Linked DNA regions of Neurospora crassa OR74A. The protein of the gene in region 2 purifies or fractionates together with the protein of the main gene of each other region. This does not show direct contact. Links are inferred from orthologs where the notes say so. Each region holds a gene or a part of one and is shown on either strand. Other genes may lie near its edges.

The links.
Region 1: the proteins of NCU11357 (region 2) and NCU06994 purify together in Schizosaccharomyces pombe (affinity purification with mass spectrometry; 6 studies listed by BioGRID, with this or other methods). This does not show direct contact. The link is inferred for Neurospora crassa OR74A from reciprocal best matches to the Schizosaccharomyces pombe genes prp19 and cdc5.

What each region holds. Positions count from the first base shown.
Region 1 is NC_026504.1:4,814,557-4,822,106, reverse strand, and holds NCU06994 (pre-mRNA-splicing factor cef-1), read right to left. Parts: upstream 5,262-7,550; 5' UTR 5,099-5,261; coding exon 3,098-5,098; intron 3,031-3,097; coding exon 2,692-3,030; 3' UTR 2,440-2,691; downstream 1-2,439. Other genes in the region: NCU06996 (hexokinase-2), read left to right, coding at 1-49; NCU06995 (hypothetical protein), read left to right, coding at 1,069-1,779, 1,926-1,979; NCU06993 (Ash2-trithorax family protein), read left to right, coding at 5,913-6,367, 6,445-7,550. UniProt on the Schizosaccharomyces pombe protein: Involved in mRNA splicing and cell cycle control.
Region 2 is NC_026503.1:538,338-545,997, reverse strand, and holds NCU11357 (cell cycle control protein), read right to left. Parts: upstream 4,148-7,660; 5' UTR 4,020-4,147; coding exon 4,007-4,019; intron 3,951-4,006; coding exon 3,906-3,950; intron 3,775-3,905; coding exon 3,330-3,774; intron 3,269-3,329; coding exon 2,811-3,268; intron 2,754-2,810; coding exon 2,278-2,753; 3' UTR 1,988-2,277; downstream 1-1,987. Other genes in the region: NCU05697 (hypothetical protein), read right to left, coding at 1-544; NCU11356 (phenazine biosynthesis PhzC/PhzF protein), read right to left, coding at 4,404-5,420; NCU16616 (hypothetical protein), read right to left, coding at 6,386-6,685. UniProt on the Schizosaccharomyces pombe protein: Probable ubiquitin-protein ligase involved in pre-mRNA splicing. May also function in DNA repair.

The DNA of each region.
Region 1 (7,550 bases), on a different chromosome or scaffold from region 2:
AGGGGCGGGGATCTTGGTGCCTGCTGCTTTGGCAAGCACCCAGGCGTAGGCCTTCAGTTCTGGTAATGAATGTGGTATGACTTGTTTTGGGAGAAGGGCGGCGTTTGAGGCCATAGAAGGGATTGGCATATGCTAGAAAGGTTTATAACTGTTTTACTCGACCGAAAGGTTTTATCCGCCCACCGCATCTGAAGGAAGACCAAGTTATCTCCAGAGAGGAGCTTGACCTGACAAAAGGTGCCTCAGTTACCATGGCAGAAAGCAGCAATTAGACTTACACACTCGCACTCCAATGTACACCCACCACCTTACCATTCAGATCCTCGGTTACCGCCTCCACACTTCAAAATCCCAAGCAAAGAAGGGTTGCAGGAGCGGAAGAATACTTTTTGGAGAAAAACAAAAAGAAAGAAAGAAAGAAAAAGACCAAAAGCAAATGGAACAAACCTCGCGGTAACGTCCCATCTCAACCTCCGCATCCATAACACTTGCTGACACCCCGGGCTAGGAGCCATTCAGGTCATGCATTGCACTGACGGACAAGGGTTCTAGCCCACTGGAGCCGCTAGACCGTTTTCAACCGTCCCCTCCGACATAAGCCCTGCCAGAGGGGATCACCAGTGCGGGGCGGAGATGAATTTGGCGAACTTGGTCACCCGACAGCGAGGATGGTCACTTTGGGCCTTACGCGGGTGCTCATCGAGTGCCCGACGGCAAAGGCCTGGATCTGCAGGGGATTTGATGCTAGTTCAAAAAGTGAAGCGGGAGATGTTCGGTGAAAAATGAGGAAATAAACGCATGAAAAAAGAATGGGGGAGGTTAGGGATCTTTAAAGTGGATATTAAAGGTCAAACGCATCGTTGTTTCGATTTTCGATGTGACTACTGACTGTCAGCTTGGATTTCAGCCCAACAACGTCTTCCTTCCTTCTCACTTCATTTTATCCCGATTTCTCATCTCCGACGGTGCTCTCCCATTCGTCGACACACGGCCTTTTTCATATGGCACTTCAAACAAGGGGACCTCGATGAAAGGAAAAAAAAACAAAAACAAAAATAAATACACACAATGAGCTCCCCAAATTCTATTGCTACCGCCATTCTCGCAAACACCGGACAATCACGGAACCAGTTCTACGGTGGTGGCCTCGGTGGTATAGAAACCCCCTTAACAGGACGTTCATTCCTCAGCGTTAGCATCGGCAACACCACGACGGAATCTATGGCTTCGTCCATCGTCAGTCCTCGAACTCGAGGTCGATGGGACCGACGAATCAGCGACGTCGAATCCGGCAGCATGTACAGTCCTACAGCAGCAGCACCACCAGCTCCACCATCATCCTCATGGCTCACAGACGACGACGCCGAAGCCTCATCAGTCCGCTCAGGAGCACTCGACACCCGCCCCTTTCCATCTTTCGGCCCATCTTCGTCCATAGCGCCTGACTCATCCTACTACAGCCAGATTGCACGGTTTCAGGGTGTCCGGAACAGCGTCTCGCTTCCCCAACCATGGCGAAGACGGAAAGAATCTACAACTACGGGGTCTTATACCACGTCAACCGATGATAGCGATGACGAGGAGGATGACGAGGACGATGATGCGTCAACCATTAGTGGTAGCCGGCATGAAGGACAACCACAACGGCAACATGAACAAGATCAAGACGCCGTCGCCGCCGCCACCTCCGCCGCTGCCGTGGATCTCTTCTCCCAGCACCAGTTCATCATGCCCAAGCCTGATGAGACTACTCCCCTTATAGCAGCCGACGACGTGTTGGTTTATTCCTCAGCAGACGCAGGTCACCACCACCCATCATCTCGGACCACTTCTTCACCCCATCATCATCATCATCATCGCTCGCGCAGCCTTTTCTTACGCCGCTTGATTTTTGCTTGTTTTTTGGCTGGGATGGTGGTGGCTAGTGTTTTGCTGGTGGTGGTGGTTACGATGAGACCTCCTCCGCCTGCGTCAAGTGAGGGGACTCAGGAAGAGTGAAGAGTGAAGAGGATGACGACGACCGATTGGCAAAACGAAGCTCATGAGGGTAGACGGGCGGACGGGATAGAGGATAGAATAGAGGATAGAGAGGGGATAGATATAGGCAAGGCGTTGGAGGGATGGATGGCAAAATTTTTTTCATATTTTGGCTTAGCTTTGGGGGAAATTTACTGCGAGCGTCTTTGTTTTGTTTTGTTTTGTTTTGTTTTGGTCTGGTTTTGTGTAGGGTAGAGAGAGGGAGAGGGAGGGATGCATTCCCAGAAGAGGGAGGGAAGAAAAAGACACAGAGCAGAGAGAGAGATAGGAGAGATTGAATGAACAGCTCGGTACAGACTGATTGCCAGTGAAGACAAGCTTCGTCGCTCCCCGGTAAGCTTTTTGCAGTGTATATGATATGACTCGCATTTGGCGTTCACCTTGGCTCCCGCTTACCAAGCCCCTGGGTTGTGAGAATCTCGTAGGAGAAGAATTCACTGATATTGAGAGGGAGGTTGGTCATCGTACTATACATATTCACACGGTGCATCGAGAGACGTCCTCCAAGTACATAATAATGTTCAATGCTTCTTATTTTGAGCTGCTCGACGTCAGTGGCCATTCCACAGACAGTTGCCAGACATACCATGCCATGCCAGAGTTTAACCAACACTCAATTATTCACAACCTGACCACACTCTTCCAACACATCATTCAGCGGAACCCATTGGCCTTCGGCCCGTTGAGCGTCAAAGCATCCAGCTCTTCCCTCGTCCTCCTGTATAACTCCTGCGCCTCTCTCTCCCTCGTGCTCACAAAGCCCACCTCCTCACGCAGCGCCGCCAGCCGGTTCCGAATAGCGGCCTGCTCCGAGGACTGGAGGACCTTGAAAGCGCCCAGAGCGTTGTTCGCCTTCTCCAACGCCTCGTGAGCCTCACTGATCTTCTTCCGCAGCATTTCAGCCCGATTCTTGTAACCGCCAAGATGCAGGTTGAGCTTCTTCTCGAGCTTGTTGCCCTTCTCTGCCGAGGCGACGATTTGGTCAATGACCTCCTGCAGGTTAGGTTAGCCAGTAAGCCTTCGGAAGGCAGGAGGCAGAAAAGGGGTTAGTTGTACATACCTCAAGCGCAATTTGCATAGTGGAAATCTGCTCTTCTTCTTCATCGTCCTCATAGCATCCCAGCCCAAGCAAAAGGGAGCTGCTGTTGCTCTTTTCCCACACCGCTTGAACTTCTTCCGGCTTTGGTTTATCCTTGATTTCCATCAGAACCTGAAGCTTGGCCTCTTGCAACGCGGCGTCGTCGATTTTCTGGATCTCCAGTGCCCGGCCAGTTGGCTGAGCTCCCGGTAGAGGATACTTGGTGGCATCATGAGCTACGAGCAAGGCCGCTTCACGAGCGATGAGAACCTTGACAGGGTCCTCGGCCTGCGAGGCTTCCTTCAAGAGTGACTGATAATCGACTTGGACAGGCCGAGGCAGATCCCGCTGCATGACCTGGGTACGTCTCTTGCGCTCCAACAGCTCTCGCGCCTCCCTGATCTCCCTTTCTCGTCGATCACGTTCAGCAGCATCCTCCTCCAGCTGCTCAGCGGTCTTGGGCTCTTGCTGATCGTCCGGCAGCTCGAGCTCCCACTCGGTCTCTTTGGGCTTGGGAAGAGACGCGAGGCCTTGCTTGAGCTGGTGCCGAATAGACATCTCGCGCATCTTAACATCTCGGGGTGTGCCGCCCACCATGGACATTTCGTCACCGGCATCATTGAGAGCAAATGTATCACGGGGAGTGCGCAGTGGTGTTTGGCCGACGCGGAGGGGCGTGGCGCCAGGACCAGCTCCAGCTGCCCGCAAAGGGGTGGCTAAGGGGTTAGGGGTTGACATGACCTGCTTCCGCGGCGCAACCGACTCGAAGCCGGTAGAGCCCACCCCCTGGTGTAGAGGTGTGTTCTCTCCACCGAGCAGCGAGGATTGCGTCTCTGTTAGTGCTCGGATGTTGCGGATCTCGTTTGCGATGTGGTCTTCCTGAGCGGGGGCCATCGGTGTTCGGATTGGCGCATTGGTGTTGAGTGTCGAGTAGTTGTTGATCAGGCCACGAGTTGCGTCGTTGTCGCTTTCGCGAGCCAGCATATTTGCCCGTTCGCCAATCATGCCCATCTTCACAATTTCCTCCAACTCGCCTTCGCCGACCTGAGGTGCTGGCAGGACCAAAGCCCTCCGCTTGCTGCTCTGTTCTGCCTCGCGCATCTTCTGCAGTTGACCGGCCTTGAGGGCGGCTTGCACAGATGGGTCCTTGTCGCCCTTTCTCCTCTTGCCGTCTCTCTCGTCCTCTTCACCCTTGCGCTTGTTCCCAACCTGCTGCTTCTTGGGGTCGAAATGGGCGCGCTGGTACTCGTTGCGAGACATCTCCTCGGTGGTGTCATAGAATCCGGGAACAGGCTTCTTTTCGAATGGAATATCGGCATTGTAGTCCATCTGGCCCTGCTTCTTTGTCGTAACCTTGATGTTGATACCGGCTGTCTTCAACTCGCGACGCTTCTGGAGAGCGGCCAGTCGGCGTGACTCCTCCTGCTGTCGCTCACGGGCCTTTCGCTTGGCCTTTTTACCCTGTGTGTTGGCCAGACGCGCGCGAGCCTCGCTCAACATTTCTTTCTCATCTTCATCGAGATCGATGGTGTCGGGACGGGCGGGTTTCGTCTCCGGATCGGGGTCGACCTCGCCAGGACGTAGTTTGCGAACATCGTCGGCGCTGGGCGCGTGAGCTTCGCCTCCATCAGGGCCCGTCAGCCCAAGAGCGGACGCCTCCCTCTGCTCAGCTTCGTCGAGAAGTCTTTGGTATCTTTCCAGGCACTGGTTTGCGGTTCTTCCAACGATGGGGGCAATGGTACGCCATTGGGTCGGCATCAGCTTGGCGAGGTGCAGCAGCTTCTCATCCTCCTCCTTGCTCCATTCGATCTTCTTGATGCTGGGATCCAGCCATTCGTTCCATCTTGCCTTGCACTGCTTGGGCGTCTTGCGGGCCAGCAGCGACGAGACGCGGGCCCACTGGTTCAGGCCGTACTTGCTGACCGACGCCTTGAGGATTTCATCCTCGATGTTGGTCCACACACCTCCCTTGACGACGGGCATCTTGTCGCTCGGCCGTTATGGATACTCGTCGGGCGTTGTAGTGATGCGGGAGTCGTTCCGGTAGGTGGGAGGACACTCGGGGTTGGGGTTGTCTTGGAATTGGAATTGAAAGTGTTGAAATGTTGTTGTGTTGATGGGGAAGAAATCCAGAAATTCAAAGCGCTGGCGTCAAGGCGAACAATGGAATCACCCGCGACGCAACTGCCTTGGCGTCTTTCCCAGTATCAACTGTCAAGCGCTAGCCAACCTCAAGACCTTTTTGCGGCAGGCAACAGGTTCCCGCGCTGTTAGCATTTTTGTGTCCCATGCATGTGGTAACTAACAAGCGAGCCAAGCTCCGGGACCCCTGCCTGCCGTTAACCACTAACAGAAGGATGCCCCGCCCTTTTGTCGCGACACGCTGCTGCTGTTGGTCGAGTGGATGAAGCTTCCATCCACCATTTCTGGTTCACATGTCTTTCTTTCCTCTTACATTTCTCAACTCTTTACAGAAATCCCCAGAAAGAACATCAAATCGCTCCGAAACTGGACTCTTTAACCCAATTGCGCTCTCCAAAAGTACGCGTCTTCTCCGAGTACCAAAGCATTTACCCGTAGGATCACCATCGGGCAATTCTCAGATTATTCTTAGCATCCATAAGCTGTCGTCGATCAGAAGAGCTCCCGTCGGTACCTACTTTGGACTTGGAGTGCTCGCCGTTCGAGTCCAAACACAAGTCGACTTCAGGACAAGGACAGCTTGCGAAAGCAAAACTAATCACTTAGTTAAATATTTGTCAACGTTACTGCTAGCACGACGTCTGCCGAGCTACATATGGCCAGCGACGTAGGCTCTCCCCGAAGGGAGCAAACACCTTCCGGAGCTGCCACGACGATCCCTCAGAAGCGCACGCTCGAAGACGACCACAGTCCAGCAGTTCCATCACCCCTAAACCCAGATAACAAGGCCGCTCCAAGAGTCCAAATACAGGCACCCGAAGACACCCAGCAAGCAGCCGTTCTAAACCGCGAAAAGAGAACAAAGAAGGACTCCTTCAAGAAGAGGGAGGCCAAGGCAGCAGCAGGCGGTTCCGATAGTTCTAGAGCAACTCCAGACCCGAAGCAGCAACACAAAGAGCCCTTGATCAACGAATTGCTCCCCGCGCGCTATAAGCTCGCTCCGCCCAAACTTACTGATTTCGAGCCCGCGCGCGGTCCCGTCTTCACCAGCCATCATGAGGTTCAAGGGCCCGAGGGCGAGACCATCGAATTCTTTGATGCAACCGAACAGTATGTCTTATCTATATTTGCTCCTTCGCCATTCTCCATTCATGCGGAGCATATTCTGATTTGCCTTTTTCCTACAGTGTCTTCAACAAGCGAGCGTTCCATTACACTCACTGTATAGCCGACCCAACGTTTCCTTCCATGTTCTACTATCGCCAGACCGAGACCGAGCCGTACGCTGCCCACATGGCCTTCGAGGACTCTGCCTCCCACGTATACTTTGACCGACAGGGTCGTCATGTCACCACCGACAAGGGCTTCCGTATGTCACGAGCCAACGTGGCCGTGCGAGAGGGCAGGTGGTATTGGGAGTGCAAGGTCACTCGAGGCACCCTGCGCGAGCCAGGTTCCGAAGGTGATACCAAGGCGCATGGGCACGTTCGCGTGGGCTGGGCGCGGCGTGAGGCTTCTCTCGACGCCCCCGTCGGGTTCGATTGCTACAGTTATGGTATTCGAGACGTGGCTGGACAAAAGGTGCACATGTCACGGCCGAAAGACTTCTTCCCGCCTGGCGAGGAGATCAAAGAAGGAGATGTGATCGGGCTGGAGATCCAGCTGCCTTCGGAACATTTACACAGGAAGATTGTAACGGGGCATTATAACCCTGCGGTCGACTTGGCAGACGACGAACCATCGCTCGAGGCACCCAACATCATCCGGGACCGGATCCCCATTCGGTTCAAACAACACATTTACTTTGAGAAGATTGACTACCACACAACCAAGGAGCTGGAAGACTTGTTCAGTCCCGCGCCGGTAGCATCGGCAAGCTCAAACTCGCCGGAACCGCCGAACCCAAATCACCCATTGCCGTCGCTACGGACGCTGCCGAACTCGTACATCAAGATTTACAAAAATGGAAAGGACATGGGCACGCCTTGGACTGACCTCTTCGCCTTCCTACCACCCGCATCAAAACAAAGTACTCAGTCAGGGGCACATGCCGGCAGAGAAGCTCTCGACGACGGAACTGTCGGATACTACCCAGCCGTAAGTGTTTTCCGCGGTGGCGCCGTCGAGGTGAACTTTGGCCCAGACTTCTGGTTCCCACCACCTGGGTCTGGTCTTCCCCAGAAGCAGCAGAACGGGGTAGGCGATGAGGACGACGTGGACATGCTTGACGACGGAAGTGTGCCGAATCAAGAACCCCTGCGGCCGGTGTCGGGTCGCTACGAGGAGCAAATAG
Region 2 (7,660 bases):
TTTCGCTGTCTTGTTCTGTGTCTGAGGAAGGGAAGCCGCTGCTGTCAAGTTCGAGGCTGTTGTCGCTGTTGTCGGAGTAGTCGTGAAAGCCGGGAATGTCAAGGTCGAAGTCGTGGTCAAAATCGTAGGGAAGGTCGAGGTCGATGTCAAATCCAGGGTCGGCGTCGACCAGGCTAGATTCGCTAGATGACGGAGACTGTGGGGAATGTGGGCTCCGTCGATGGCGGGGCGACAGCGAACCGCCGCCAACGTTGTAGTGATTCTCCTCCTCTTCTTCTGCTCCTTCTTCGTCGTCAAGGTCTAGATCAATGTTGTTGTTGTTGTTGTCGTCCAAGTTGTAATCCCAGTCCAATTCAGAAACTTCGCCGTGATCGTCTTCGCTGTTGTCGAGACTCAGGTCAATGTCAATGTCACTGCTGTCGTTGTCGATGGCCAGATGGTCTTCGTAATGGTCCTCGAATTGCCCTTCGCCCTCAGCGACTAATTGCTCGACCTGGTACAAAAATCCGCCCTCGTCATCAAACCAGTCGTCCGCCGCGTCCATAATGACGGGAGGGAAATGGAGGGGGGCGGAAGGAGGTTGATTCCACTGCAAAGTCGCGGTGCCAGTGTCGGTGTTCGGTGGGTGAAATTGCTTGTTCACTGATAGTCGCCTCCGCGCATTTCCCCAACTCGATTGGAAGACTGTGGAGAGCAGCACTGCACAGACTGACCTCGCTCGAGCTTCCGGGCCAACACCAGTGTGGTCCCCCTTGCCGCTGGTGATGAACGACCGGGATGAAGCCGAACCGCCCAGCTGATTCAACAAGTGCACGTATTGAAGTGAATCTGGTTTGGGAACAGATCTCAACGCCCAATTCGTCCCTAGGTATGCTGGACGGTGATCAGGCACAACAAGGTCAGGGTTGAAGGAGAGCTAGCTGAATGTCTGCAGCCTCGAGGGGTGGTGGCAAACGCAGCTTGGTCAGCTTGGTCAGCAAATGAGCGAATAGCGTGTTGTGGTTTCAAGCGGTTTTTTTTTTTTTTTTTTTTTTTTTTTTGGGTGAGCGGATAGAAATTAAAAGATGAGAGCCAACCATCACCGTGATAGACGAAGAGACTCGGTCAACAAAGGAAGGAACTGAGGCTTTGATATTTTGAGACACTGGAGGGAAAAAGAAAGAAAAAAAAAAGTTACCACCAAGACTTCCTGCCAAACTTCTCATAAGAATGGTTGAGGGAAGTTGACAAAAAGCTATCTAATGCCTGGAAAACCTGCCCCTGGATAACAGGCAGGGTGCTGGCAGATCTGTAACACTCGAGTCTGAGCCTGTGCTTCGGAATGCCGTGTAGGCAAGATAGGTAGGTACCTTAGTGTTGGGCAGTACGGTAGAGCCTTCACTAACTAAGCAGACATATGTGTACAGAAGTAGAGGTATGCGGCTTCCTGTGCTTGCACGGCTGTCGGGCGCTCAAAGGGGGAAGGCCTTTTCTTTTTACAAACTAACCGAGTTTCTACGGTACCTAGGTAACCGGCACGGGGGAAGTCGTTCGTTGTGCTTGTTTTCTAAAACTGAAGCACAAGGTCATTCATCAACACCTCGGTTGGTGTCTTTCACAAGTTCCTATGGTGACTTGACGTTGACCATGCTTAATGTGCCTCTGTTAGTACCTTAGCAGTACTGCGGGCAAGAAGAGCCTGTTACAACGCTGCATCCTTAACAGTCAGACATAGGGGTCCAATTGTACACTACCTTACCTGCATCCCGATTCGGGCATTCAGGAACAAACAGCTGTCAGCCTATCAGGTTGCACTATCCCCTGTTCTCGTCGTGAGCTCTTTCAGGGTCTGATGATGGACCGTGATATGGAAGCTGTTGGAACGCAGGCACTGCCAAAGTTGAGATCACGAAATACGGAGGTGAAGCCATACAACAGTATCACCGCAGAATTTCCCCGTTTTGCTTCGGTATCATCAGAAGTGAAGACTTCAAGACAGATATGCTCTTTAAAACAACATGCTCCCGCCGCTCAAGTCTACACTAGACCTGTTCATCAAATATCTTTTTCACGCTCGAGTCCAGATAAACCAATGAATTACTTTATAAGCTCTTTATGTTTTGCGTCATACTGGGCAGACCGGTATTGAGCCCTCTCATCAGGAGCTAACGCCTACCAATAAACCCCGATCTCCCCTTTCGCTCCTCTAGCCCATCACTTTAATCTTCTTTGGTCTTCCAAAGCCAACCCCACCTAGACCGTCTCCGAGTCCGACTTTTCGTATTTTCCAATGCGATCCTACTCGCTCTTCGGCTCCAACACCGAAACTACGCCCTCTTTGCTGACAGCCACCAACTGCCTCGCCTTGTCTCCCCACTGCACCGCCACAGCCGGCGTGCTTGTCCTCAACGGCTCCGTCCACGACTTGCTAGCCTTGACATACTGCTGCACCGTAACGCCCTGCGATCCGGCAGTGGCGAGGTACTGACCCGTGTAATCCCAGGCAAGGCCGGAGACGTCACCGGTTTGGAGCTCCTTGGCCCGCGCGGCGTCGCCTTCCTTGCGCAGGTCGAAGATGGTGACAGAGGACTGGCCGACGCCCGTAGCGGCGAACCAGAAGCCGTTTTCGGAGAAGACGAGGGTCTTGACGGGGGCGCCGAGGGTGAAGTTGGCCATGCGCTGGAGAGTCTTGGTGTCGAAGATCTCGATCTGGCCGGATTGCGTGCCGGCGGCGAAGAGGTGGCCGTCGGGGTGGAAGGCGCAGGATGTGAGTTCTGTTTGTTCATATTAGTAACTTGAGACTGTGAGGCGGGTGGTGAAAGGGTACATACCAGCGTCAGTATAGACACGCGCTACACGCTGCAGCGACTGCAAATCGTAAAAGATGATGCCCTTATCCACGCCCACAGAAGCAAGAATCTGCTCGCCAGGGTGCACCGCCAAGCCCGTCACGGCACCGGCGTGCTCCGTAACAGAACCAGTCTCGACACCGCCCTCAACAGCCTTGACACTGCCCTTCGAAGTGGCCGAGACGACCTTGTTGCCGATCCACACCGTAGCAGTCACCGGCTCGCCAACCTCCAAAGAGCGTTCGTGTGCCTTGGCCTCAACCGAGTAGAGATCCACCTTGCCGTCCAATCCACCAACCGCCGCATAACCACCGTTGAGAGCGAGCGAGGTCGCTTGTGTGACGGGGAGATCTGTGTAGGCGGTTTGTTGCAGAGCGGAAATGTCTTCTGTGGTGGCCCAGCCTTCGGGGACTGGTCGCTTCTTGCGGCCCTTTTGCTTTCTGTAGATCGGTGAATTGTCAGCATTCAACTTTTCGAGATGACGGAGCGCGGTAAACGTACTCGGCCTGAACCTCATCAACATGTGCAGCCAACGCCTCGGGCAGACCCTCGCTGTCTACCGCCATAGCGTCACCAGTTGCGGCACCGCCAGCAGAAGCCGTAACTGTGAGTCTGGAAAGGGCCTCGCGGGCCTCATCACGCTCCTTGGTCAAGCGAGCAATCACGCGAACGGCGGCATCGTTCTGGTAGAGCGCCGTGGCCAATTCCTCCCTTGTCCTCGCCAGTTGTTGCCTCGTGTTGTATGACTCTAGTACCAGGGCGTCCCACTCGTCTTGGAAGGCCTTGAGCATGGATGGGAGGGATGTGAATTGCGGGGGGCGGGGGCGGACGATCCGATTTGTCTTGATGGGGAGGAGGTCTTCGACGTCTAGCTCTTCATCGGTGCCGGGTTCTTTGTGGTTCTCTTGGATGTACTTTTCGATCAATCGCTTCTCGAAGACGGCGCCTGGGATGTGTTAGTATGGCATCGCATTTCGGCCTGTCGTGGAAGCATCTGGTGTGGCTTGGTGGGAACAGAAGCGGTGGGAATGGTGGGATCTCGGTGATGGTGACAACAATGACGAAGAGTGCGCGTACCGGTCTTTCTCGAGACAACAGGCTCCTCGGGAACCTCTCCGGATACTGCGTCAATCGGTTAGCACAGCGTCGCGCAACGGTAGATTAGAGCTGTGACATACGGGCGCAAAGCATCTTGATAATATGACTGCAATGCAAAATCTGTAAAATGGGTTGTTTGGTTCAAGTCGCGATGTCAATGTCGTCCTCCAACTTTTTTGTTGCAACGCGCCACGGCCAGCCAGCTAGCACAGACAGCAGGCAGGCGACGGCCTGGAGCTGGACGACGCTAGAGGTACTTGGAGGTTTGGCGGCAGGCAGAGAACCATCTGCCAAGCTTGAGCCACACCGAGCCGCATACTACGGTAAGTGACCAATCATGTTGCATAAATGACTATGGACGTTTGGGAGGTACTTTGGCAATGTATCTTTTACTCGTCATTTTCGACTCAACACCATGCCACTTCTCACAACATCTACAATGTAGACAGCATCACATTCAACTCAATAGCAAATCCACTACACATAGATACTTCCCTTCGTAACCACCACCGCCGTCCCTCCCAGATACAAATCCTTCACCTTCGCCTCCCCATTCTCCCCCTCCACCGCCGTCGTCTCCACCTCAATCTCACTCTGCCTCCCCATCTCCACGCCCTGCGTCAACTCAAACCTCGCCCCTCCCATCTCCCTCCCACTAACCGTCAAATAGCTCGCCAGCGTACACGCCGCACTACCCGTCGCCGGATCTTCAAATCCCAACTCCACCATCCTCGTCCTAAACTTGAACTCCTTCCTCCCATTTTCACTCTCTTTCTCCCTCTCCATCGGCACATAATAATACCTGGACACAAACCCGCGCTCCCACTCCCCCTTATCCAACAACCCCTCCACCTTACTAAAATCCAGCCTTTTCGCCGTCGACACCTTCGCCAAATGTTCCAAACTCGGCAGTTTTACCAACAAAAACGTCATTCCCCGCACGATACTAACTACCGGGCCATTTAACTCCGCTTGTCTTATCTCTGGGTCCTCGGACAGCGCAGCCTCAATCATCTCCCTTGTCTCCTTCTTCACCTCCCCTCCCTTTCCATCCAGAATCCCGCCCAACGTCTGCTTATGAATACGCACAGCATGCGGAATCGTAGCCTTCACCCTTCCTTCGGACGTCGGTCTGATCGTAATCGGTCCGGCCTTGGTAACAAGCGTGTCCACATGCTTCCACCCCAAATGGTTTAGCACGAGGTACGCCGTTCCGACAGTGGGATGTCCGGCAAAGGGAAGTTCTTCCTCGATGGTGAAGATGTCGATTTCCCGACTGGTGGAAGTCAAGCCATCGCGCGCTTCGTCGTCGAGCGTGTGCAGAAAGACGGTCTCGGAGAAGTTGAATTCGCGGGCGATGAGCTGTTTGACGTCTTGGGTGAGATGAGAACGAAAAGAGGCGGGGGTGAGGACTACGGCTAGGGGGTTGCCTAGGTAGCGGGTGGAGGTGAAGACGTCGACGGTTAGGTAGGTGAGGGTGATGGGCTGGGCCATCTTGGATGTTTTGGTGCGGGAGGTGCCGCTGTCTCCGGATGAGATGGTGAGAGAGTGAGTGAGGTGGGACTGATGGCTCGTATCTTTGATAGCAATATCGATTTTTGGATCTTTTGTTGCGGTGTCGAGGTTTTATACCTTGATGAGAGTTGGAGGAGTCATGGTTCGATGAATCACAGCTGAAAAGTGGGGTAGCTCCAATTGCTACCTTGGTGAGGTTCGTCTTAAGTGGTCGCGTCCTTAGTTCAATAGTACAGTCATTGACTTACTAGCCCTCAATGGCAGCCCCGGACATCGGCCAGCTTACGTGATGACATTGCCCGCAATGCTTGATGCCTTTTTCTTTTCTCTTTCCTTCTCTGTTCTTTTCCCACATCCTCCCCTTGTTTCGATCTTCGTGTTTCCAGTCTCCAATGGCTACCCTAGTGTGCCCGACAGCAGGACACCATTTGTCCAGGCCTAATTCTTTTCTTTCTTTTCGCTTTGAGAAACCACCTCCTTTCTTTGAGTTATGAGGGTGAACTCTCCCAGTTATCATCACAGCCACAACTGGCCATCATTTTGGTGTCCCAAGTTTCGTGATCACAGCTTAGAAAGTGGCGTCTCTTTCATGGCACATGTCGATGTCACCAAGAAATGTGCATCTTTCAACGTTAAGAAGATTCCCCAAACTATTATGAAAAGTACCCATTCCGCATCCAAACTGGGAGATTATTACCAACTGAATCCAGCCAAATTTTCTCGCTCGCCCTTCTCAACGATTGAGACAGTCTGTAAAGTCCTGCTTGCCTGCCCGACGCACTCGTCCTTCTAGAAATATACTACTCAGCCCTGGTTTGTTCGTTTGTATGTTACAGGAAAGCCAAAGCGGGCTTCACTGGATGCAGATAGGACTTTGGCTTTCTATTGGGTATTTTAGTTGCAAAGTGGAAGGTGCAATGGTGTCTTAGGTATTGGCGGGGTATTTAGTTGGCTTTCCGGGCCTTGGGCTTACTAGTTTTCCTCTTCCTTTTCAAATCAACCACCCTCTTCACCTCTACCGAACCCTGACTTGAGCACCACGAGTGGTTGCATTGGCGATCCCACCCAGGGGGGGAGGAGGTGTCCGTTGTGTTTGGTGAACGAATGCGTGACTCGCTGTCGATCTCGGTCTCGGTCTCGGTCGGGCGGTTGAGCTTGCTGAGGGCGTGTGCCAGACGGTCGACGTTGCTGCTCATCAGAAGGGTCTTGAACTCGTGCGTGAATAAGGTTGTGTGTGCATCCATCTTGTAGATCAGTTGTCCGGTCGCCGTCTTAACCGCTTTGATGGGTTCTGCACGAATGGGCCCTTGGTATACCACGTTTTCTTGCCCATCCAACTGCACGCGATCTGGACAATTGTAGCATTCATTGGTTGTTGCGACAAACTCCACCGTGCCCAACAGATCCTCTCTGGTGGACTGTCACGCTCCCGCCTTGTCTAACCACGTAAAAGCCTAGAGGTATCTTCTAGTGCTGAAGGCCTGAAGAAGACGCAGAAAGGTATTAGAGAATACCCATTAGAGGCTTCTGTAGCATCACAAATCTCTTGCCATTATCCCATTTCGCTTCAGGCGGAGGACACTTTCTCTCCCTTGCACTCGTCGCTGCCAACAACGAACAGACTACCTAGCTTCGATTTCTTCAACGCAACTCCCAACGAAGTCCACCGCAAATACCTATCTCACTGCGATATAGCACTGCGACCGAATGAGCGCACGGCCCGCCGAACGCGGTCCAATTTCCCTTGTTTGAAAAGGAACCCCAAAGGCTAAGACGGGGGTGCCGCCTGTTGTGCGGACGGCCATACTCATGCGGCGGCAGAAGCGGGACAGAAAGGGCAAGTTTGCAATAACGGTGGAGGTGGAGTCAGAAGTCAACTGGTGGCAGGACATCAAGGAGAAGGTGCGCAAAGCGATAGGTGCCAGGTACCGCAACGATCCGGTCAACTTTGATCCGGCCGTGACATACGTGGTGCAGGATGGGAGCAGGTGGACCCCCATGTCGCGATGTATTGACCCTTGTAGCTCGTGACTGATTGACAGCCCGGATTCCCAGTTCCAACAGAAGGAACAGAGGGATCTATCTGCCTTTGATGACGGGAATCGACGGGAGTTTCATCAGTGCAGATTTCATGCTCATATCATCAACACTGCATGTCTGTTTTTCAGGTGAGAGCGACAAAGAATCGACGTAGTGTGGGCAGTTACATTTGTCTCTTC